4 linked regions of the Medicago truncatula genome follow. The protein of the gene in region 2 binds, or shares a complex with, the protein of the main gene of each other region. Links are inferred from orthologs where the notes say so. Each region holds a gene or a part of one and is shown on either strand. Other genes may lie near its edges.

The links.
Region 1: cyanelle 30S ribosomal protein S10 (region 2) and 30S ribosomal protein S31, chloroplastic share a complex: the UniProt entries of both Arabidopsis thaliana proteins name them as parts of the 30S ribosomal subunit. The link is inferred for Medicago truncatula from reciprocal best matches to the Arabidopsis thaliana genes AT3G13120 and PSRP4.
Region 3: cyanelle 30S ribosomal protein S10 (region 2) and 30S ribosomal protein S17, chloroplastic share a complex: the UniProt entries of both Arabidopsis thaliana proteins name them as parts of the 30S ribosomal subunit. The link is inferred for Medicago truncatula from reciprocal best matches to the Arabidopsis thaliana genes AT3G13120 and RPS17.
Region 4: cyanelle 30S ribosomal protein S10 (region 2) and rps8 share a complex: the UniProt entries of both Arabidopsis thaliana proteins name them as parts of the 30S ribosomal subunit. The link is inferred for Medicago truncatula from reciprocal best matches to the Arabidopsis thaliana genes AT3G13120 and rps8.

Annotation. Positions count from the first base shown.
Region 1 is NC_053045.1:4,921,349-4,927,572, reverse strand, and holds 30S ribosomal protein S31, chloroplastic, read right to left. Parts: upstream 2,199-6,224; 5' UTR 2,151-2,198; coding exon 1,979-2,150; intron 1,870-1,978; coding exon 1,805-1,869; intron 801-1,804; coding exon 666-800; 3' UTR 538-665; downstream 1-537.
Region 2 is NC_053044.1:26,399,371-26,406,396, forward strand, and holds the start of cyanelle 30S ribosomal protein S10, read right to left. Parts: upstream 3,024-7,026; 5' UTR 2,959-3,023; coding exon 2,764-2,958; intron 1,896-2,763; coding exon 1,836-1,895; intron 468-1,835; coding exon 156-467; 3' UTR 1-155.
Region 3 is NC_053043.1:49,901,261-49,907,326, reverse strand, and holds 30S ribosomal protein S17, chloroplastic, read left to right. Parts: upstream 1-4,762; 5' UTR 4,763-4,801; coding exon 4,802-5,257; 3' UTR 5,258-5,530; downstream 5,531-6,066. UniProt on the Arabidopsis thaliana protein: One of the primary rRNA binding proteins, it binds specifically to the 5'-end of 16S ribosomal RNA. Required for optimal plastid performance in terms of photosynthesis and growth. Required for the translation of plastid mRNAs.
Region 4 is NC_003119.8:41,803-46,649, reverse strand, and holds rps8 (ribosomal protein S8), read right to left. Parts: upstream 923-4,847; coding exon 518-922; downstream 1-517. Other genes in the region: rpl36 (ribosomal protein L36), read right to left, coding at 1-91; rpl14 (ribosomal protein L14), read right to left, coding at 1,608-1,976; rpl16 (ribosomal protein L16), read right to left, coding at 2,102-2,512, 3,561-3,569; rps3 (ribosomal protein S3), read right to left, coding at 3,708-4,352; rps19 (ribosomal protein S19), read right to left, coding at 4,793-4,847. UniProt on the Arabidopsis thaliana protein: One of the primary rRNA binding proteins, it binds directly to 16S rRNA central domain where it helps coordinate assembly of the platform of the 30S subunit.

The sequences.
Region 1 (6,224 bases), on a different chromosome or scaffold from region 2:
GTCGGTATCTTCATCTCTCTTCTAAGTTGTTTAACTCTAACATGTCTAAAAGTATTCTAAGAAGACAGTAACAACCAAAGTCTTGGGTTGACAACATGAATCAAACAACACCATAAAAGTATAATGCAAATAATGAAAAACCATGCAACATATGCCCGAAATTGAGCGCATAAGAGTGACTGTGTAACAACAGCATACACGTTGCAGAAGCAAAGGTTTAATTCAACAAACATGACCTTTCCAACATTTTTGGATTCTATCACTCTACCAACGTTCCTAACCATTTTTTCCCATAGGAAACTTTTGTTTGGTTGTTAGACATCTACAACAGCACAGATCCTAAGGAGAAAAATCCACGACATCGAGGTTTTTGATGTCTTCCCAACCACATCGCGACAAAAATTATGACCGAATTGGCAGTATTTGCCTACAACTTTTTCGCAAACTGTGACCAGGATTTTAAACCTCGACTATAAGAGTGTTTCCAATCCCACCCTCAATACGATATAGCAAGAGCTTACATAATAGAGACTAAAATAAGGTTGCAAAGTGAACTCAAATAAGGATAACAAGCAAAATCCAAATAGTATATGCCAAATGGAATCCATATGTCAAAAACTATAAATCATGAAACTCTCAAAATTACAGTGCAACACTAAAATCAACTAACTAGGAAAAAGGGATTCATTAATTTCAATCTCAATCACTTCCTTATCTTCAAGCTTCTCTTTCTTGGTAGCATCTGGTGGAGCATAAATCCTTGGTGGTCCTGTACCCTTGTTCTTGTTCCTCGGCCTTGCCTGATAACATCAAATAACATATTTTTCAAAATAACCTTGGAAGTATTCACCACAACATCCACTACAATTTCAACAAATATCCACGACAAATAATAAAGATTGAATATGTTTTCAGTGCTTTAATAATTTCGAATTTTGTTTTTAGGATCAGTATTAACCTTTCAATCCTACAAATTACTAAAATGTATGTTTTTAGTCCCTTTTTTAGGACAAAAAAATCGGTTCAATGACTAAAAACAAAAAATATAAATTATAAAGACTGAAAACACATTCAACACTAATAATTTAGCAAAACAAAAAGGGAAGAATTACTTTAATGTTAATATGAATCACATCCAAAAACAATTTTGATTCAAACAATTTCTTTTCTTAGTTGGGGTGCGTCAAAGAAATGGTATAGTGCCACTCAAAGCAACGCGCGAGAGGCAAGTATCGGTGGAATCTCCCCATCAAGAAATAAATTTAACATCATGCTTCATTGGCTCACATATCAAATATTAAACTGATACGACACTACACTTAATTCAATCAGTCAAACTATCCAAAATAATACTATGAATTAAGAATCACTTGTTAAGTCAAAATAAGATAAGATACTACACTTGATTCTTAAAAAAAAAAAATCACTTTTACAGCAATGTATGTGTAAAACATGATAAATTTAACATCATGCGTCAACAAGAAATAAATTTAACATCATGCGTCATTGGCTCACATATCAAATATTAAACTGATACGACACTACACTTAATTCAATCAGTCAAACTATCCAAAATAATACTATGAATTAAGAATCACTTGTTAATTCAAAATAAGATAAGATACTACACTTGATTCTTAAAAAAAATAAATCACTTTTACAGCAATGTATGTGTAAAACATGATAAATTTATGATAAAGTCACTTTTAACTAAAATCAATTCTAACAAAACTAATTCATGTTGGAACCAAACATACACTCAATAATTGAAATAAGTGGGGGAATTGGGAAAAAAGAACATTACATTTCCAAACGAATGGCTGAACCGTTTGCCCTTGGCAGTTTTCCTATCACCTCTGCCACAATACACTACAAGAAAACAAAAAAGAACCAAAATCAATAACTGGGTCATCAAAATTCAAATACAATAAGCCAAATTCACAACAAAATTTCCATTTTTTTTGGAGAAAAAAGTTACCAGAAGGGGTTGGTGAAAGAGACAAGGTTGAAGAGAGGGTAGGGAATGATGAAGTGATGAGTGGTGAGTGAAGAGATTGGGATTGAGAGAAGGAAAGGTGAGAAGAGGAAGCGTGGAGTTGAAGAGAGAGTGGAGAAGGTGATGCTAGAAGCAGTGATGATGCCATGGCCATAACTGAGAGGATAGATAACGAAGGCACTTTGATAAGGTTGGTTTGATTGAGGAATATATGTGCTGCGATTTTTTAGATCCAATGGTTTAGAATGAACATCTAATTAGTAAATTACATCAATGGTCAATTTTAAATATTGTCCATTTTTCATGAAATTTCAAATACTTGTCTTTTTTTTTCTTAATTGCACTTTTGCCCTCTTATATTTCCAAAACTTGCGATTTTAGCCCCCTAACTAATAAAAATACAAAACAGCCCCCTATGTATTGAATTTTTGGCAGTTTTGGCCCCCAAGACCACTTTTGACTTAGTCTTCGCTGACGTGACATCCACAATGGTCGACACGTGGCACCTCACTTAAGGGATGTGGATGCCACGTCAGCGAAGACTAAGTCAAAAGTGATCTTAGGGGCCAAAACTACCAAAGATCCAATACATAGGGGACTATTTTGTATTTTTATTAGTTAGGGGGCTAAAATCACAACTTTTGAAAAGATAAGAGACCGAAAGTGCAATTAAAACTTTTTTTTTTCTCTTCAAAATATATATTTTTTTAAAAGAAATATTAATTTTTTAACCAAAAATTAATTTGTTTAATTGAGATATTTTAATATTACTTTTCTTTTGAGCTTGAAACATATTTGGGAAAATTCTACAAAGAGAGAAGATTTCTCTTCTTTTTCTTCTTCAAACTCTTTACCGCAGCACACTTAGTCTTTTTCACTTTTTCCTTACAATCCAAAACTTTTTTGTTGAAATGTAGATCCTTTGACTGGTGGTGCAATCGCCCTCCACCGTCACGACATATGTTGGGTTCTTTCTTTATCGCGCTTTAATGATTGGTTCCTAATCTAAAATGGTGCCTTCGATATGAAGTTGGGTTCTCATCCGTATCTACGAATCTCGATGGCTTTGTTTGTTGCTAGTTCGCTCAACTTTTTAGCCGCCTTTGGTTCTTGTGTTTCTAAGTTCCTGGATTCTTTGTTCAATACGAATTAATTTTGCGTTGGATCTAATGTTAATTCATATATGGGCTTGTTGTTCATTGTCATTTGTTTTAGTGATCGCCATGTTGGTTTTCCTTGACCAATGTTGCGCGGATTGATGTCTATGTGAGTTAATGCTCACATGTGCTGCGTTTGAGTTATTGTTTTCTTAATTCGAGTACAATGTGTGTCATGTGTTTTGGGCTTGAAGTTGTTGATGCTTTGTCAAAATTCGTCACAGGTTTATTTAATTTTTTTTTCTTTGCAATTTGGTTTTGCACTTGTGTTGCAGGTATGTTGGGTTATGCAACAAGTGTATGATGCTTCGGGTTTGGATTATGTTGAACCATCAGTTATGGTGATTGTTCTTATCCCATTCAAGATCGTATTTTCTATTCATTACCCTTTAGGATAGGTTCGATACCATCTTTGTGTTGTATATTTGTTTGTCAGGGATGATTCGATCACTTTTGTGTGGGGGTGTGCATAAACCCTTGTCCTGCCTAAAACCCATCCAAACGTCAGCTTTATGGGGGAAACAGTCGGGTTTAAAAGCAAATCGAGTACACAATTATGGATTTCAACTTTTCAAGACTTCGATTATTACTTGTCTTGCCTTGAAACTATAATTTGACACAAACATTAATTTTTCTTTTAAACTTTCAACACGCAAACAATATTTTGTTCCACTTTTCTTTTATCTTTAAAGTTAAACAAACTGTATTACATTTTCAATTCTAAAAGAATTTCAATTTTCCATTCAAGTTTGGTTTTGTGTAAACCCTTTATTTTGAAGATTTCTTATTTCAACAAAATTTACTTGCTCTCTTACACTCAAGGTCGTCGCGAACATCCTCCACCATGTGACGAATGCTTACAATGGCTTTGCACATGTGCTACGATATATTGTCCACACAGAAGAAAAACTACCGATGCAATCTTAATCCTCTTCGAGTGGCGTCGACATGATGATGTCGGTGAACCACCTACTAACAACCGGTGTGGCTGTTTGAAACTTGAGAAAAGGAAAATGAGGATTTTCTATGGTCTCAACTGAAACAAACTTCCCAAGATACCCGTCACCCATCTTACCCGTCACCCGAATTACCTGTTGTCTCATTCGATCAAAAATGGTTTTGTTTCTGATCTCTTATCGACACTTTGGGGCCTGAATTTGACCGAAACTGTCTATTGCTCAGCCCTACTTTTGTGTGGTTATACTGGGTCGGGTTTTTGCCCCCAGTCTTTTGTACTCTTTTTTTAGTTAAATGAATTACTTTTCTTTTTCATAAAAAAATCTAATTTTTTTTAGAAGTTTTTGGATAGGATTTCAATCCACTAAAGTGAGTAAAGTGAAACTTTTATCAAAAAAATAACCTAGTTGTACTAGAAAATACTATAATTGTTCTTAGTTATTATTTACACCTAAAAATAAATAACTTGTTAGATAGAAATACAACTGAATGCAAGTTAGTCAAATATTTTATTAAGTCTACTTGGGTCCATAAAGGTTGTGCAATGTTAGAACTAGTCAAAGCTCAAGGGAACTTAAAAATTTAGGATCACTTGGATTCGGAAATTGAAGGCCGTAGAAACCCATAGAGGAGATGTCTGTAAATCAATGTCTTCTTCTCCCTTCTCTTTTAATTCTCGCAAACTATTATTTGATATATGATAATTATTGATTAGGTAAATTGATACTTGATAAGTGAGTGAATAATTTGAAATTCCTTTGTGAACAAATTTTGTTAACCTAAATTGAGACTTCAATCATTTTGAATTGTTGATATGAACACTTCAATCTAATCATCATATATCAAATACTATTGTCTCCTGTGTTAGTTTTTGTTCTCATCCAATTAGGTTTGATTTAAGATTGGATTGTCTTTTATATCTTGATTGTGTATTAGTGATTGTTTGAATAGATATAATTCAAGTGTGAATTACTTGTTCAAATTTGAATTGTTATTTATATTAAAAAAAAAAATTTGAATTGTTATTTGTCATTGCATACTTTAGCAGTGTTTGGCATCACATTTTTTTTCACGGTGCACGCTACATAATGTCACTTTTACAGTGATTTTATGAAGCTGAAAATTCCAGATTTTGCCTAAAAGTGCTTTTTTGAGCTTTCCACCGGTATTCCAAACACATACTTTATATGATTGAAACGATTGTCAATTTCCAATATTCAAACTCAATTTCGTTTTTCAAAGAAAATCTCAAAACCATGTTTTTGTTGGGTAATCTATTCACCCCTCTAGATTATCGTTGTACATTTCACCAACATGCATCAGGTCACTTGATAAGTGTCAAATTACTGTTATTTTCTATAACACTTATCAACTTGTTTTGTAAGTAATTCAGTATAAAACCCCCAAATTTGATATAAATATCATTTATATTCGTAAATTGTGCCACAAAGATATTACTTCTATTTCCCATACATTTTTATAGGTTTTGAGCATGACTACACCAATACAGAGTAAAAGAAGGCAATCACACGCGCCAGAAGCCAAGTCAGAGCATCCCAAAGACATATGGTGAAAAACACGATCTCTAGGCGAGCTTGACATGGTGAAAGCGAGCCAAAACAATGAGTTCCAAAAGGAAAAGCCAAATATGATTTGCTAGGCAAAATTGGATCCGCTAAGTGAACTAAGGCGGTTCAAGAAAATATCTAAAGACTGTTGGCTTTTCCCTCCTTTGAAGAAACCTTGATTTGCTAGGCAAGCTTGACTTCAAATGATAACCTGCACCTCTATTTGTAAGGGTTCTGAAATTCTAAAACCAAACCTAATAGAGAGGGATTCTGACTCTAAAATGGAGCTTGACTTCGGTATGCAAGGACATGTTTGCCTAGCGAATCTAATTTTTTTTTTCGAAAGTTAATTTTTTGCTTCAATTCGCTAAGCGATGTTTTGTGTGCCTAGCGAGGGAAGAAAAACCGAACATTCATAGAAATTAAAAATGTCCGCCCATTAACTCAACTTTATGTCATTCAACATACCATGGCTCAGGGAGATTCCTATTCTTGAATGACTTAACCATTTAATTAAGGTTTTTTTTTCTAGATTACCCTATCTTG
Region 2 (7,026 bases):
AATGACAAAGTTAACAAAAGGATCATTTGGATTGTTCAAAGAAATACATTCAGAGAGAGGAATATATGACATGCTGAGTTTCGACTCATTTGCTTTTAGTAGGAAGTTGAAGTTCACTCATACTCAAGATTCTTATAAACCTGAAGCAAATAAATTTAGAGCTTGACTTCGACATCAACGCCAGCAGGAAGCTGAAGCAGCATGAGAGAATCTATTGTTTGTGCTGTAGGAAAGAGAATATCAATGACACGCTGATGAGTTCTGACCTCGAAATGGAACCGAGCATCCTTGTGTACGTGGGGAGATTTAAGGACACAGTGAATTCGCTTCTTGGTTGGTAAAGGAACAGGACCCATTGTTTTTGCATTGGTGGTTCTCGCTGCATCCAATATCTGCTTGCAGGAATCCTCTATCAAGGGGACCAAGTAAGATCTAAGCTTGATTCTGATTTTGTGCTTTGGTGCCAACTAAAATTGGGAAAAAACAAAATTATCAGGTGATATGATTTTATTAGAGGCCATGGAATATGATAAGTTATAGGTCAAAACAGTAAATTCTACATAAATATCATCAATTAACTCGTCTTCTCCTCCTCACTTTTCAATGGAAATTGGTGGATTGCTATATTTGATTTGTGTAATCTATTGTCAAGAACAATGAAATATTTTCATGTAACATCCTTTTCCCCCTTTTTTATTACCCTCAGGAATCACATAGTGTGATTGCACGAGGCCTGTGTTTCAGGGATTTGGATTTGATGCTGTCAGCACCCACACATTCATGCAGTCAGGGACGTAGGTAACCATTGTATTGAAATCAGACAGTACACTTTAAGCTCAGTCTTTCAGATTTTTTGAAAAATAAAAAAAAAAATGCATTAAAATCTGGACCGTCCAATCTCGATCCAATGCTCACCGATATCCTGGACCTGGACTGTGTGATTGTGTGTGGATTGCTGAATGCACCAAATCCAAATCCATGTTTCAGAAGAATGAATCGGAGTGCTGATAAGGGCAAACCAAATAAGGTGCTTATAGAGTGAGTAAGGACTGTGTGAACCCTCAGAAGAATGAAAACAAAACAATGGAACAGCTAAATAGGGTGTAAATGAAAAGGCCTAAAGGGTAAGTGAAAGAGTTTGGGAAGCTCTTGTTTTAGAATACTGATAACCAAACAGTGAAATAATAAAATAAGGTGCATTAAGTATAACTCCTTCAGTTCCTTTTCATTAACAATGTAAGCTTCTGCTTCAGTTTCTTGGATGAAAAGTGATGGAAAACATAAGCGACCAGAAAAAATAAACAACAAACACTAAATCATGTCATGCATAAAAGTGAACAAAAAATATATCACATTAATTCGGGCATGTGTTGCATGATTCAAAACTACAGCAAAATTATCACATACATGCATCATATGTCATTAATAATACTGAGACCAATGTAACCTTGTTCTGAAACTATGCCATACTTTTGACAAGGGAGCATATGTTTCACTGCTGAGTAACTGGCTAACATCAATAACCTATTACTTGACTTATCAAAAACAATTTACAAATTGAGTGTATATTTTGGATTGGTAGTGAGTTAGGCAAAATCACACTGGCACCGTGATTTTGTTGAAGCTCTAAAGTGTAACTTTTGGCAAAATTGCAATGAGCCACTGTGATTTTGCTAAATTCACCACTAATCCAAAGATGCACTAAAATGTCTCATAATTTCATTGCTATTACATATTAAATGACTGAAAATGGAATTTGAGCACCACATATAAGAAGCCTCCAAAAGCAAACAAATATAAGCCAACTATTGAAAATAGCAAGTCAATCAACGTACCATGTCTGCATTATCCCCAATGCTAATTTCTGACGTGCTCGGAGTCTCTAAGTCATCAACCTAAAAACACCAAGACATAATCATCACAAAGAGACCAACTGAATTGAGTTAAAACATTCAGAAAAATGTAGGCCAATCTAAACCGTAACATTGCTGAAGCCAGTGAAATTCATATTCACTAACCAACACATTAAACTACATATAATTGACATAACATTGCCATAAATAATTTTCACTCCCCCTTTTCACTGTCTCCAAAAACCTTAAATTTTGCAAATTAAACCCCCATTGTTTTTCACATGTTCAACTAATACGTTTTATAAAACTAATTAACCAAGCATTGAGAAAATTCCTAGATACTCATTACCTATTTAACAATAGATTGAAAATGTCAATCAACTAAATTTTCTTCGTGTTCTGAGTAAATGTTTGGTTCCACTTTTACATGAGCTAAAACTGATTCTAAAGGTGTAAAATTGATTTTTACAAGTTTGAAAGTTTTCAATTATAATTGTTGTTACAAGAAAGTTAAATTGATTTTGCCTCCAAAAATAATTATACTAACTAGAACCTAGAATTTTAAGGTTTTACCTCTACAATTGATTTTTAGCCTCAAATTCATCGCATTTATTTGAATCTATCCAAACATAAATCAGATTGCATTCAAATCACTTTTAATTTATGTTTCATTCCACTTTTAAATAAGCCAAAATTGATTCTAGATGAAATTGATTTTGCAAACTAAAAATTGGAGCTTTTAATTCTAGAATTGAATTTTACACTCAAATTTGTTGTTCATAATGCATTCAAGCATATGAATCAAATTATTCATAATCAATTTTCGTTACTACAGAACCAACCAATTAAACAAAATCAATATTCATCACTACAAAACCAAACACAATACAAACATGAAGAAAAGGGTTACCTCAGAATTCAAAACTTCAGGAGCAGCATGAACAACAGTAGACAATTGAAGAGGTTTTGCATTTGTAATCCTCAACGTATTACCAGAAACAAAGCATAGAGATTGAAGCTTTAGCTTTGAAGATAACAATGGTGAAGAATTTGAGGAGAGAGAAAGAGAAGGAATGAATGTTGCTGAGAGAGAAGAAACTGCCATTGAAACAAACTCTCTGAAGCGAAAGAAAGAAAGAAAGATTGTGTTGTGAATAAGAAGATTAAGAATTATCCGTTGTTTTATTTTCCTTTTTCTATTTTATTTTTTTGGTTGTTACTATTTTATTTTGTTTATAGGCTTTGAACCTCAAGGCATTTTGGAAATGCTACCTCCACCCCTCGGTTTAGTACACACACTCCAACAATCTATTTGAAATCAATTTTACGGTGCACAAGTGAGATTAGTGATGGACTTATAAAATTTGTCTAGAAGAAGCAAAACTATATACTAATTATTTGCTTTCACTGAACTATACGTTAACATAGATTATCTGACATTAATATTTGAATAGGTAGAAAAGAAAAACTTATGGAGGCTAGAGTTTCATAAACATAATGAGCAAAGATTGAATGCATAGTCTTACAATTGGAATATATACTAGCTAATATAAAAGTCTAAAATACTCTTACTAATAAATAATAACTATTATCGAACATCTCCCCTCAAACTCACGATGCATTAGTTAGAGCATCAATAGTTTGTCAACTAAAAAAGGAAACATTTTAAGGAGTGCATCTTTGTGAACAAATCAACAATATTCAAAGATGAGGAGGTAAATGATAGAGTGATTGTTCCATGATGAAGATGGTGACGAGTAAGATGACAATCAATCTTAATATGCTTGGTGCGTTCATGGAAGACCGAGTTATGAGCAATTTGAATAACACTATTGTTATCACAATACATTGGAGTTGGTTTAGAAAGAGAGATACCCATATTAGACAAGAGTCAACACATCCAAATAATTTCCTTAGTAGTGGATGACATTTGGCATATCACGATACTCAACTTCTATAGAACAGCGAGAGACAATGTATTATTTCTTACTTTCCCAAGAGATAAGAGAACCTTTAAGAAAGATGCAAAACAATGTAGTGGACTTACAATCTGTAGGATCACTAGCCTAGTCTGCATAATAAGCACATAACTCCAATGAAAGACAATGAGGGAAAGAGAAGACTCTAAAATTGAGATCCTTAGAGATAACGACGAAAACAGAGAACTACTACTCAATAAATTGTAGTGGAAGAGACAACAAATTAATCGACAACATGAATAACATAAGCAATATTAGGTCTAGTAATCGTAAGATACACCAGACTGTCAACCAAAGTACGGTACAAAGTGAGATTTGATAATGGAATACCATCACACTGTGAGTATTTCACATTCAAACATATTATCTCTCTCCTTCTTTTTTTGGGTGTTAACTAAGTATCCTTCGCGCACAACTATAGAGACTAATCTCTCGAACCTTGTGAGACTCAAATGAGCGGCAAACTCACCCTAAAAGTTTAAACTCTGCTACATGCTCAAGACTCTCTCTCTCTCTAATCTTTTAAATTACAATCGTAATTAATTTTTTTTATCTTTTAAATTGCAAATGTTAAACACCTTGATCTCTTAATTTATTTTTATTGTTTTTGGTTTTATTTTGCGTCCTTAATTTGCAATAGTAGACATTTGATCCTTTCATGTCTAATATTTATAAATTAAAGAAACAAAATGTCAATATTTCTAAACTTCTACGACTACAGTTAGAAATACTTTGTATGGTAAAGGAGTAAAAAAAAACATGAGATGAAAACGTTTACCATTTATAACTTAAATAAATAACTAAATGTAACAAGGAGAACAAGAAAACAAACCTATCTAAAAATAGCTCATGAGACTACACCAATCGTGTGAACGTAATTCCAAGGAGAACATCAAAACAAGCCTACCTTAAACCATATATTTAGCACTTCTATTTATTTTATTTTATTTTATTTTTAACTTATAAATAAAAAAAGCATAATGAAAACTAAAGTTCATCTATTTACTATATATATTAAATATTAATCCCTATGATTTTACCATTTTGCTCCAATGAAGGGCATTTTTGTAATTTACTAATTGGTGGGATTTTGTTGGTGCCACCTCATCATTTTTATGGCATATTTCCCATTTTTCCCCATCAATTTTTTTTTTAATTTTTAATAACTTTTAACTATTTTCCAATTTTTATTTTTTTAACTATTTTTCAATTTTTTCACCCAAATTCAGTTGTTTCTACATTGCCGTTGTGAGAGATTAATATATCGTTTGACCCGACTTTTTCCAACTTCTCTACATTTTTAAGGAGAAGTTAGGTCAAACACAGTATCAATTATTTTAATTTCAATATTGTTTAATCATCATAACCTCATTAATATTTTTGTTCACACTGTCATTTAATGATACCAAATATTTTTATTTCCTTTCTTCAACCTCGCAAATATTTACACACACATTAATGTTTAGAGTAATATTTTATGTCCGTCTGTCTGTGTTTTTGTTACGCTGATGCATATAATTTTTTAGTGTTGCTTGGTTGAGTGCTACCTCAATGATGTTTTTTTTAACTATTTTCCAATTTTTTCTCCCAAATTCAGTTGTTTCTACACTGCCATTTGTGGGAGATTAAGATACCGTTTGACCCGGATTTTTTTTTTCCTACTTCTCTACATTTTTCAGGAGAAGTTAGGTCAAACAAAATATCAATTAAGTACTTACTAGAAAGGGAACTTTTTTTAATGCATAAAATTGAATGGAATGAGCTTTGGGCAAAAGTTGTTGAATGCTACTTTAAAAAACTACTTCTGGACAATATATTTCACAAGCACCTCTTTTGAACTCACGCTGGGAACCTTTTCTTTTATTTTTTAATATTATATTTCAATATGTTTTTTTTTCCATTTAACTTTTTTTTTTTTGAACCGTTATATTTAATTTTTTAAGGAGGTTCCATTTAATTTTATTATCTTTTTTCAAAGGAATTGTATTATCATTTTATCACTTATATATTTAATTTCAATATTGTTAATCATTACAACCTCAGTAATATTTTTATTCACGCTGTCATTTAATGATACCAAATATTTTTATTTCCTTTCTTCAACCTCGCGAATATATACACACATATTAACGTTTAAAGTAATATTTTATGTCTGTCTGTCTGTTTTTTGTTACGCTAATACATATAATTTTTTTTAGTATTGCTTGGTTGAGTGCTACCTCACCGATTTTTTTTAACTATTTGTCAATTTTTATATTTTTAAAAAGTTTTGACTATTTTCAAATTTTTTTATTTTTAACTATTTTCTAACTTTTTTTCTCCCAAATTCAGTTGGTTCTACACTGCCGTTGTGGAAGATTAAGATACTGTTTGACCCTGTTTTTTTCAACTTCTCTACGTTTTTAAGGAGAAGTTAGGTCAAATACAATATCAATTAAGAACTTACTAAAAAAAGTAATTTTTTTAATGCATAAAATTGAATGGAATGAGCTTTTGCCAAAAGTTGTTGAATGCTCCTTCAAAAAACTACTTCTCGACAATTTATTTGACAAGCATCTCTCTTCAATTCACGTTGGGAATCTTTTATTTTATTTTCTAATATTATATTTCAATATATTTTTTTCTTCCATTTAATTTTTTTTTAACCGTTCCATTTAATTTTTTTTAAGGAGGTTCTATTTAATTTTATTACCTTTTTTTCAAAGGAATTTTATTATCTTTTTATCACTTATATATTTAATTTAAATATCGTTTAATCATAACAACCTCACAAATATTTTTATTCACGTTATCATTTAATGATACCAAATATTTTTATTTTCTTTCTTCAACCTCGCAAATACACACACACACATATTAGCATTTAGAGTAATATTTTATGTGTGTCTGTTTTTTGTTACGCTAATGCGTATAAATTTTTTGGCAAAATTTTGATTTTAATTAAAAGTAAAATTGTAGATGTATTTTCTTCAAAAAAAGGTACAGATGCCTAAAAAAATTATGCTTATCTTATATATATATTGCACCTTTATATTCTAACAAATTATGCATATCTTTTTCTTATTCAAAAAAACTAAACATTGCTAAATAGAAAATGTATTATTTTCTATTTTGTCAGCATCAGATGATATGATTTTATATAAGTTTAGTAATGACCCGAAATATGTTTTTCCTTATGTAGTGGGAATATAGTT
Region 3 (6,066 bases), on a different chromosome or scaffold from region 2:
CTAAGGCTTTTGACTCAATTACTCACGCCACATCAAATCAAATAAACTTGTTATTTCCTTGTAGATAAATAATATTCCCTCCATCTCAAAATAATTGAGTTATTTGAGAAGAAAAAAATTGTTCCAAATACACTCTAATTAATAATAAGCAATTCAACATATTATATTTTATATTTATGATAATGATGAATGCATTAGCACTTAATAAAGATATTCAACCATTTTTTCTTTTCTCTTTTTCACCACTACATTTTCTCTTAATATATGTGAAATAAACAAAAGACTTCGTTATTTTGAGACAGAAAGAGTATAATGTAAACAAAAAAAAAATCTTTCCACTCGCTAATTTCTGGTCATATTTTTACTCTTTATCTTTTGTATATAAAGATTATGATTATTATGTATGTATGTATAAATTATAATTTTAATAATTGATAAAGTTAAAATTTCGCACCCCCTAACTCGGGTCTTGGATACGCCACTGACCATTAGGCACTCACACATAAAAATACATTTTATTTAATTATTTAAAAAATAAATATGATCTAATTATTTTCTCTCTATCTTTTCTCAATTATGTATGTGTGCCTAAATTTAGTATGCCTAGACAAGTATTTTCCATGGATCTATGAGATTTAACAAAAGTCTTCAAACATGAGAATAACTTAAAAGGTTTTTGGGATGAAGTGGGTAATAGGGTCCGATCAATTTTACCAATATAGAATAGAAATCGTGAGAACAATGGACTATGTTGCGACATAAATTATTTTGTCCCAAATAAATGATTTTGCGACATAAAATATTTTTGACCCAAAATTCCATCCTAATTTTAAGTTTTTCTTCAAGTGGGTATATTTTGTGGGACAAGAGATTCAACTGTCATTCCAATCTGTAGTGTATTAAGTGCATCTCATGGGATGGGTTGGACTAGCTATCGTTGGATGATTAACTAGTATATACATATTGTGTCATCTCATTTCTCTTACTCTCTTTTATTCAAAAACTTACTAAGCAGTGCTTCTTTGTGATTTAACTTCACCTTTTTATCTAAGCATTGCACATGGAGTTAAATGATTTGAATAAGAACTAACGTGGTTGTTAAAATTAATTTGAAAAACGACTATGGTTTAACTAAACACATGTCTTTGCGAAAAGATTTTAAAATGATTAACATAATTCAAATCCCCTTTTGTCGTGTTTTTCCAACATATTCAAGTGGTATCAGTGCCCATTGTTGGAAAATATAAGTAAAATGGTTTGACTTGTTTTGTGTTTCAGATTCAATATCCACTTCTTTTTAAATTTTGAAAATTGAAGCTCCTGTTCAACAATTTACTTTTTATTTTAAAACCATGGATTGACAAAAAAAAAATCATGAAAATCTTGTCTTTTAAAAACAATTCCCACTTAGTTTTTTTATGGATTTTGTTAACGAGTGTCTTGGGGAGATCCCAAATTTTAAAAATATTCTTTAAAAAAAATCAAATGTTACAAATTCTAATGCATTAATTATATAGATTTTTATAAAAACTTATTATTAAAGGTGTTTAAAAAGTATTCCGATGACACTCGTTAACATTTTTTTTTTAGATAAATGATATTTGTACATCCATTTTATGACAACTTTTGTACAACCTTCTCTCATAATCACATTATCTTCTTATTCTCTCTCTTCCCTTTTTTTTTTTTTCTCTCTCTCTCTATTGTTTTTGACCAATAAAAAGAGAGAAAAGGTAGGTTGTCACAAAAGTTGTCACTAAAAGGTTGTTCAAATATCATTACTCTTTTTTTTATATACTCTCGGAGAAGAATAAAAATGAAAAAAACCTCAACCTATGTTTTGCGAATAGAATGAGAAGTTCTCATTCAAATTTGAATCTTACAATACTAACTTATGATGTATAGAGAAGTGAATCTTACAATACTAACTTATGATGTATAAAGAAGTACGTCAACATATGATTTTGTTAACAGAGATAGAAAGTCAGTTCAATTTCAATGATCTATGGTGATCACATTTGAAGGTGGGTAAAGAACACAAGAGAGGGGAGATTGAATCGTGTTGCCGATTTTTTTTCTTTTTAATTTAACCATTTCTATTAAGTCGACTTGTTTACTAAAAGTTGAACACAATAATTCTTTTATCTATTAAAATACTTTATTTTAAAACTAAAGAGACAATGTGAAGTTAAACTATAAAGAACTCGACATATGCATTGAGAGAGAGGATACACCAAATTCATCCTTGTTCACTGTCAATCTGATAGCTAGTCCACCTTATCCATAGTGATTTTGTCATCTCAACAAGAGAGACTTCTTTAACTATAATCTCCTCAAGAGTTATCCACCCCAATATTTCACGAAGCATCAATCTTGTCAAAATCCATCACCCCTATCATTTACCATGTTACCAACCATGATAACCACATCATTTATCCGGTTTTCCAACCACGTTGATCATATCACTTACCCGGTTGCATAACCATATGAGTTACCAACAATGGTTATGACTTAGTTAAGTCTATCCGTCATCTCACACCAAGTGAGGTCTGGTCTTTAAGGTCTGTGCAGTATAGTAAAATGGGTGCAAAGTAAAGTGGGGTTTGAGTTCGTATATGACTAATACAAAATCATTCTAGGATGATAACTATCTAAGAGAGGATATTACATAAAAATCATGTCTCAATTCAAGAGTACTTCTATCTTCTTGATTGATTTACAAATGATCTAGACAATTCTCACTCGAGAGGACGTTTCACAAAGTTCCTAAATCATGTTATTGGCTTTAACTAGATTTATTTTTTAAATAATAATATAAGCTTTTTTCTTTTAGGTGGGGTGTTTTGAACACTAATTGTTGATCTTCACATAAAATGATATGGTGATTGAAACATAAGTGATGATAGCAACAACAACAACTCTCTCGACGCGAGTAGGTTTTGTTTATATAAGTTCTAGAATCCTATTGTTGGAGAATACAACAAGGGTGAAGTTTAATATGGAAAAGGGAAGTTCTTTCCTATCATGGGAAAGTTTAACCACAACCATTGATTTAATAGTTTTTTATTTGGGTGGCTTAGATCTATGACTTGGTAATTGTTGTAACTTTTTGATGGTTACATGGTGGACCAAAAAAAACGACCCACCATTGATGAAATAACAATTTATCATTTGTTTTATTGATTTATTGTTTTTTTTAATTAATTTTTTTCACCATTCTTCCTCTTCTTCCACCCTCCTCTTTTCTACCTTCATCATCATCTTCATACATTAATCAACATCAAACTCAGAAAGAGAAGGAAAAAAAAAAACAGTAAGAAATTAAAACTCAAAAAATAACAATCAAAATCATAGATCTACTCTTCATCATTCTTCACCATCATCACTAAATATCCTATATCCACTCTTCATCATCAAGATCCATGGTTCCTCAATGATAACAACAACAACCTAAAATCATCATCTTCATTTTCATTTTTATTCATTCATTTTTTAAGAATTTGTATTTCCAGATTTTGAAATTCAATAAAAGTATCATCCCCTTATTACCGTAACTTAACCCTTTTTTTTATTTTTAAACAAACGTATCATTAACAAACACTCACTGCACAAGCTATGCATAATAGGAGAGAAGAAACATTACAAGTGCCAATAACAGTCCCTAATTATAGCAATATCAAATGGGAGAAGAAACCTAAGAACAGTAGCACGAGACCCTAAAGTCATGGTACCGCAAAAACCAAATAACAACAACAACACCAAGCCTCTACTGTCCCGGAATTATAAGGAAACATGATGAATGTTGAATGAAATGAGTTTAAACATTATTATTGAGTGAGGTAATTTGTGTTATGAAATTCATCTGTGTTATACATTAGCAAATGTACCAGAAAAAACAAAAAAGGATTAAAAAACTAATTTAATTTTCATTTTTTTTTATATTTTTGAACAGGTTTGAGACAGCCACCTGTACTGGGAAATGAACCTTTCCCATGGTGGGAAAGAAGTATCCATTCCCAGGTTAAATGCCACCTACAACAAAATATACAACCGTTGTGAGGATACATATGATAAAGTACAAGTATCTCTTGTATATCTTTGTATACAAAGTGACTAATCTGTCTCATCGAAGAGATTTGAGAGAATCACTTCTTTATACTTTTAGGATTTTACCTAGATAATTATCTTGATATTTGAACGTATCAATCATCCATACATCATTATAGATTCGATTTGTTATCTTTTGTACTTTGTTTCTTCATATTTTTAAGGCTAAAATATGGTTTTAGTTCCTGCAAATATGCTTCGTTTTGGTTTTAGTCCCTGGTAAAAAAAAAATTTGTTTTTGGTCCCTGCAAAATTTTTTGTTTTTGAAAATAGTCCCTGACCCCACTTTTGTGATGATTTGCATACGTGGCATATTATCACTGAACCAATTTTGTAGTTTTTGGTCTCTGCAAAATATTTTGTTTTTAAAAAAGGTCCTTGCAAGGGACTATTTTCAAAAACAAAACATTTTGCAGGGACCAAAAACAAATTTTTTTTTTACCAAGGACTAAAACCAAAACGAGGCATATTTGCAGGGACTAAAACCATATTTTAGCCTATTTTTAATGAATCAGTTATATGATTTATTAAATCAACTTCTTATTTTAATAGTTATTGAAGGGTAAAATTGGCCAATAAAAGTTTAATACAAGTAAGGCATAAAATAAAAGAAATAAAGAGAATGAATCACTATAAAAGATTTAGTTTTATCTTCTTCTTATCTCTTCACAACACAACACAACACAACACAACAATGTGGCTTCTGCAACTTCCCAGCACGCTCTCAACACCATTCCTCAACGGCAACAATGGCGTCGCCCTCACCCGTCTCTCAAAGCCCACATCCACACTCTCTCTATCCCAACCCCAATCCCTTCCATCAATCAAAGCTATGAAAACAATGGAAGGAAAAGTTGTGTGCGCTACCAACGACAAAACAGTGTCGGTGGAAGTTACTCGTTTAGCACCTCATCCCAAATACAAGAAACGTATTAGGATGAAGAAGAAGTATCAGGCTCATGATCCTGAAAACGTTTTCAAAGTTGGTGATGTTGTTCAGCTTTGTAAAATTAGACCTATTAGTAAGAATAAGACTTTTCTTGCTGTTCCTGTTCCTGCTAGGAATTCTGGTAAGGCTAATAATTCTTCCGGTGACCTCGACATTCCGCTTCAATCGGAGCAAGAAGAACAGCCTCAGACTCAGGCTTAGTTTTGCAGTCTCTCTCACTCTTTAATTTGTTGTGTTTTTATTTTTTGTACTAATATGATGAAATTGGAATTGAGAAATTGATGTTGTTATTGTTGTTGCTGTTAATTTGTTATTGTTATTATGAAAAATTATTATTTGATTAATGTTGCTTTGTGGGTGTTTGTTGAAATGTTGGATGTGGTTTATGATAAACCCTCAATTGTGAAATTGCTATGGTTGTGTAATTATGTTGAGAATTTTATTGTTTAGTGTAATGGATATGTGTTTGATGAAGGGCTCGTTTGGGTTGATTTATTTTTGAGCATATGCAAGCAAAACAGTTTATACAAATAAATAAACTTTTATGTATTATTCATAAACTTGTTTAGGTAGCTTATGAAAAAACAACTTATGAAGATACAATTTTAATAAAGCTTATTTGCATAAACTATTTTTCATAAGCTAAAAAATAAGTCAATCCAAATGGGCTTAATAGATTTTTAATAGTATGAAGCGCGACACACAAACACGGACACCAGACGCAACACTGACACATTGACACAATTCAATGTAATCACATGTGTTGGGGTTGTGTCGGACACATCATACGCCTGCGATCATAAGTGCCGGCGGGAGCAGGAGTATCCTCCTCCAAAGAGGAGTGCTCTTGAATTGTCCATTCTACATCACATGTCAGGATATAGATACTCTGATTGCAGAGAGCCCGAATTCTTAGCTGTAGGTTGGGTGTTGATCGTGTGTTTGGGTGAGTGTTTAACAAATGTGATTTTGAATTATCTTAGAGTTTGTAATTAATCTGACCAAAATTG
Region 4 (4,847 bases), on a different chromosome or scaffold from region 2:
TTGGGTTGGAACAAATTACTATAATTCGACCTCGCCTGCGTATCAATCGACATTTTTCACAAATTTTACGAACAGAGGCTCCTACTTTCATATTTTTAAATTAACTCCTTAACTAAAATGGAATGCCAAATCTATATATTCGAAGAAAATAGGTTTTCCTTACATTTTTAACTTATAATTGTGCCTCCTAAAAAACATGTTTAAAGTTAAAAAATTAAATTAAGTGACTTATACTTCCTTTTTCTCCTTTACCGGTCGTATACATTAAGTACGTTCAATTTTTTTGTAAACATAGCCTAGAATTTTATTTAAATTCTATTTCTCTAACATGGAACATACCCTCAGAAGTTATTCAGTAATTTAATCTTCATGAATTTTTATTTCTATTCTAGTTAAATCCTCTTCACACATTCACTAAGGTATCAGGAGTACATAGTAGAAATCCATTTTTTCTCTACTCCATTTACAATAATGTATATAATTTTTTCATAGAAATCGGATATCGGCAAATTTACCATTACCATATATAACATAAAACTTCGCCGCCGATTCTTTCTAATCGAGCCTCTCGATCTGTCATTATACCCCTAGAAGTAGAAAGAATTACAATCCCCATTCCTCCTAAAACTCTCGGAATTTGTTGATAGTTAGAATAGATTCGTAGACCAGGTGTACTGATCCTTTTTAAATTTAAAAAAGTTTTATACGATTCTTTCCTATTTCTTCTATACCGTAGAGTTAAAACTAAAAAGTATTTGTTGCTTTCTCCATGTTTTCTAACGTTTTCAACAAAACCCTCTCGTAAAAGTATTTTCACAATGTTTTCGGTGATATTAGTAAGTGGTATTTGAACCGTTCTTTTTCGATTCATGTCAGCATTGCGTATCAAAGTTAGCATATCAGCGATAGTATCTTTACCCACGATAGATTATTGCTCCTTACTTTCGATATAATAAACGTGCTCCTGTTTTTTGTTTTTTTTTTTTTTTTTGATTCAATAAAATATCATATATTGAATATGAGAATATAATAATACTATATATAGATAGAAAATTCTAATTAGTCTAATCAGTATAATGTAAATCTATAATATAGAATATTCTAAAACTAAAAAAAGATAGAAAGAAAATGAATGAATGACCTATTATAAATTATAAACTAGATAGATAATATTATATCGAATTCAGAATTCTATTTGTATTTTGTATAAAGTATAAAAAAAAAATACAAATAGAATTCTGAATTCGAATTTGTATTTTGAATCTATCTATATCTATATATATATTCAATATATATATAGATTTCATTCCTTTTTCTTTTTTTTTTTTCATCTATTATTATTATTTCGTTTTAAAAATATTTATTAATTAATATAATGACTTACTATTTCTAATAACTTATCGATATGTATACTTTTCATATTTATGTAATAATCTTAATATAAATATTCATAATTATAGAATAATGATTACACAAGTATATAAGGTATATATGTGAGATCTAATATATTTAGGACTCTATTTCACTTCTATTCAAATATATATTCAAATAGATTTCCTTCCTATTCATTCCAGTCCTAAATAATATATCTATATCACGATCTCGTATTATAATACCTCGGGTGCTAATGAAACTATTTTAGTGAAATTTAACTGTCTCAATTCTCGGGCTATTGCGGAAAAAATTCGAGTTCCTTTTGGATTTCCTTCTTTATCAATGAGAACCGCCGCATTATCATCATACTTTATTATTATACCATTACTACGTTTTAGTTCTTTACAAGTACGTACAATTACAGCCCTGATCACTTCAGATCTTTCTAAAGATGAATTTGGTACTGCTTTTTTGATTACAGCAACAACAATGTCACCAATATAAGCATACCGTCGATTACTAGCTCCTATGATTCGAATACACATCAATTCGCGGGCTCCGCTATTATCGGCTACATTTAAATAGGTTTGAGGTTGAATCATATCATTTTTTTCTATCTTTCAGTCAAAAAGTTGAAGTAAAAAAAATATTCTGTGTTCAAAAAAAAAAAAAAAGAAACCAACAATTACCATTTTTTTCATACTAAAGACCTATTTCGTTCTAATGATTATTCTGAAAGAATGAATTGAGTTCGTATAGGCATTTTGGATGCCGCTATTGAAATAGCCTTTCTAGCTATATTTTCTGGGACCCCTCCCATTTCATAAAGTATTTTGCCGGGTTTAACGACAGCTACCCAATATTCGGGAGATCCTTTTCCCGAACCCATACGCGTTTCGGTAGGTCTTACTGTAACAGGTTTGTCTGGAAATATGCGTACCCATATTTTCCCACCTCGGCGAACATTTCGTGACATTGCCCGTCGCCCTGCTTCTATTTGTCTAGATGTGATCCAAGCGGGCTCAAGTGCCTGAAGAGCATATTTTCCGAAGGAAATTGTATTACCTCGATAGGCTTTTCCTTTCATTCTTCCTCGATGTTGTTTACGGAATCTGGTTCTTTTGGGGTTATAGTTGATGGTTATTTCTCAATTCCATCTCTATTACAGAACCGTACATGAGATTTTCACCTCATACGGCTCCTCGCGAATAAATCGATTCAAAAATATTTAACCAAAAAAAATTTAATTTTAAATTACAATATTAAATTTAAAATAGAATACAATCGCGGGATTTTTTGACATATTAGAAATTTGTATATCTTGCTTTGATATAGAACCAAATATGGATTCTTATAGACCATTTTTGCTATCCATATCTAACTAGATAATGTTGTTTTGATATAAGGTTCTAACGAATCCATATTTGTCTTTTTTTTTTTTTATTATCATATTGGCAAAAATTTCTAAATTCAAAAAAATCCACATTTTCGCGGGCGAATATTTACTCTTTCATTATAAATTTAAGATGTAATGTTGGGTTAGTCCACAACTCCTCAAAAAATAATGAATTCTTAGTTCCGTCCGCCATCCCATCTAATGAATCAGTAAGATTATGAAATTTAATATAATCTTAGGTATTCACAGGTTCCATCGTTCCCATCGCTTTTCTATTTATGGTTAGGTCTAAATTCTACAATGGAGCCTCTTTAATATTAATAAGATTTTATTTTCATAAAATTTTCTTATTTATTTTATTCTTTTTTGTTGAATCAACCTTCTCAGTTTTATTGATTCGCAGCTCTTGATTTGTCTATTCTACGAATATATTCATCCATATATGGATGAATTTAGAATATTGATGCTTTATTACACTACCTTTTACGAAATGACCCATAGACCTTTACATAGTCGAATTCTATATCATTGATATCTTTTTTTCTATCTTTCTTTCACCCCTTCATTTATCTGTATATTCTTATTGCTTTACAACTAATAATCAGATTCTTTTTTATTTCAGTTGCTATAATTATATCACCACATAGATCTTTATTTTGATTTTCTATTTTCCGCGGTTCTTTATATCCAGATAATGGTAAGCGATGAGTAGGTTATTAATTCTTTAGTAATTAATTCTACGAATTCTTGTAGAAATTTAACCACTCTAAAAAAAACCAACGAGTCACACACTAAGCATAGCAACTCCTTTACTATAAAATGATTAATCAATTTTTTTATTCAATCTTATAAAATTTGTCATTTCTTTTTTGGGAATAAGAATTCGTCATTTTTTCTTTTATCAAAAGATGGAACGCTAAAAATAAGGAAAAGTAAATTAGTCGTTGTTTAGAAATATCCAAACTTTGATTCCTAATACCCCATAAATAGTTCGAACTGGATAGGAACAATAATCAATTTTAGCTCGAATGGTTTGTAGAGGAACCCTACCTTCTCTAATCCATTCGACACGTGCAATTTCTTTTCCGTCGATACGTCCCGCAATTTGTACTTGAACTCCTTTTGTACCTGCCTGTTCAGCTAATTCAATAGCTTTTTTGATTGCTTTCCTAAACGAAATTCTATTCTTTAATTGTCCAGCTATAAATTCTGCAAGAATATTAGGGTCGCTATAAGCATTTGGAATTCTTGTACTTGTAATGTTAATTTTTCGCGTCACACAATTAAGTTTTTTTTGTACATTAGTCTGTAATTCTTCGATTCTTCGAGGCTTACCCTCCGTTAATAACGTTGGAAGTACCATATAGATTATGACTTGAATCTGATCGATTGTTTTTTTAATCTTTATTCGTCCAATTCCCTCGACACCGGGGGTTTTTTGTATATAATTCTTGATACAATCTCGTATTATTTTATCTTCTTTTAGATTCTCGGAATAATTTCTTGGTTGTGCAAACCAAATAGAATCATGATTTTGAGTTGTACCAAGTCTGAAACCAAGCGGATGTATTTTTTGTCCCATAATTCCTCACTACTCTATATAAAATAATACGTCTTATTTGTCTACTTTTTTATCTATATCTTTTTTTTTACTTTTTTTATATAAAAAATATTATATATCTTTATGACTCATTGACTTAGTTCGTTGAACTATATATTGTGACTAGCATTTTCTCCTGCAGAATAAAGCAATTCAAAAAAAAAAAATAGAATAATATGCTCAACTCCATAAAGCATAATTTCTATTATAATAACCCTTTAAAAATAGAAATATTATGAATTACGATTCGCGCTTTGTCTTGTGAATAGACACAAATATTTTTTGACCAAAGGCTTATACTTCTATGTATTGGTTCTTCTTTCTCCTAAGGTTATATTTTCACGAAAAAATGAAATGAGTTTATTAATTAATATTTATTTATTAATGACTATTAGTATACTAAATTTACCTTAAAATTAATGTTAACGATTCGATCTATTATCATTTTTCGCATACCCCCGGAAGTTTAGAGTAGGT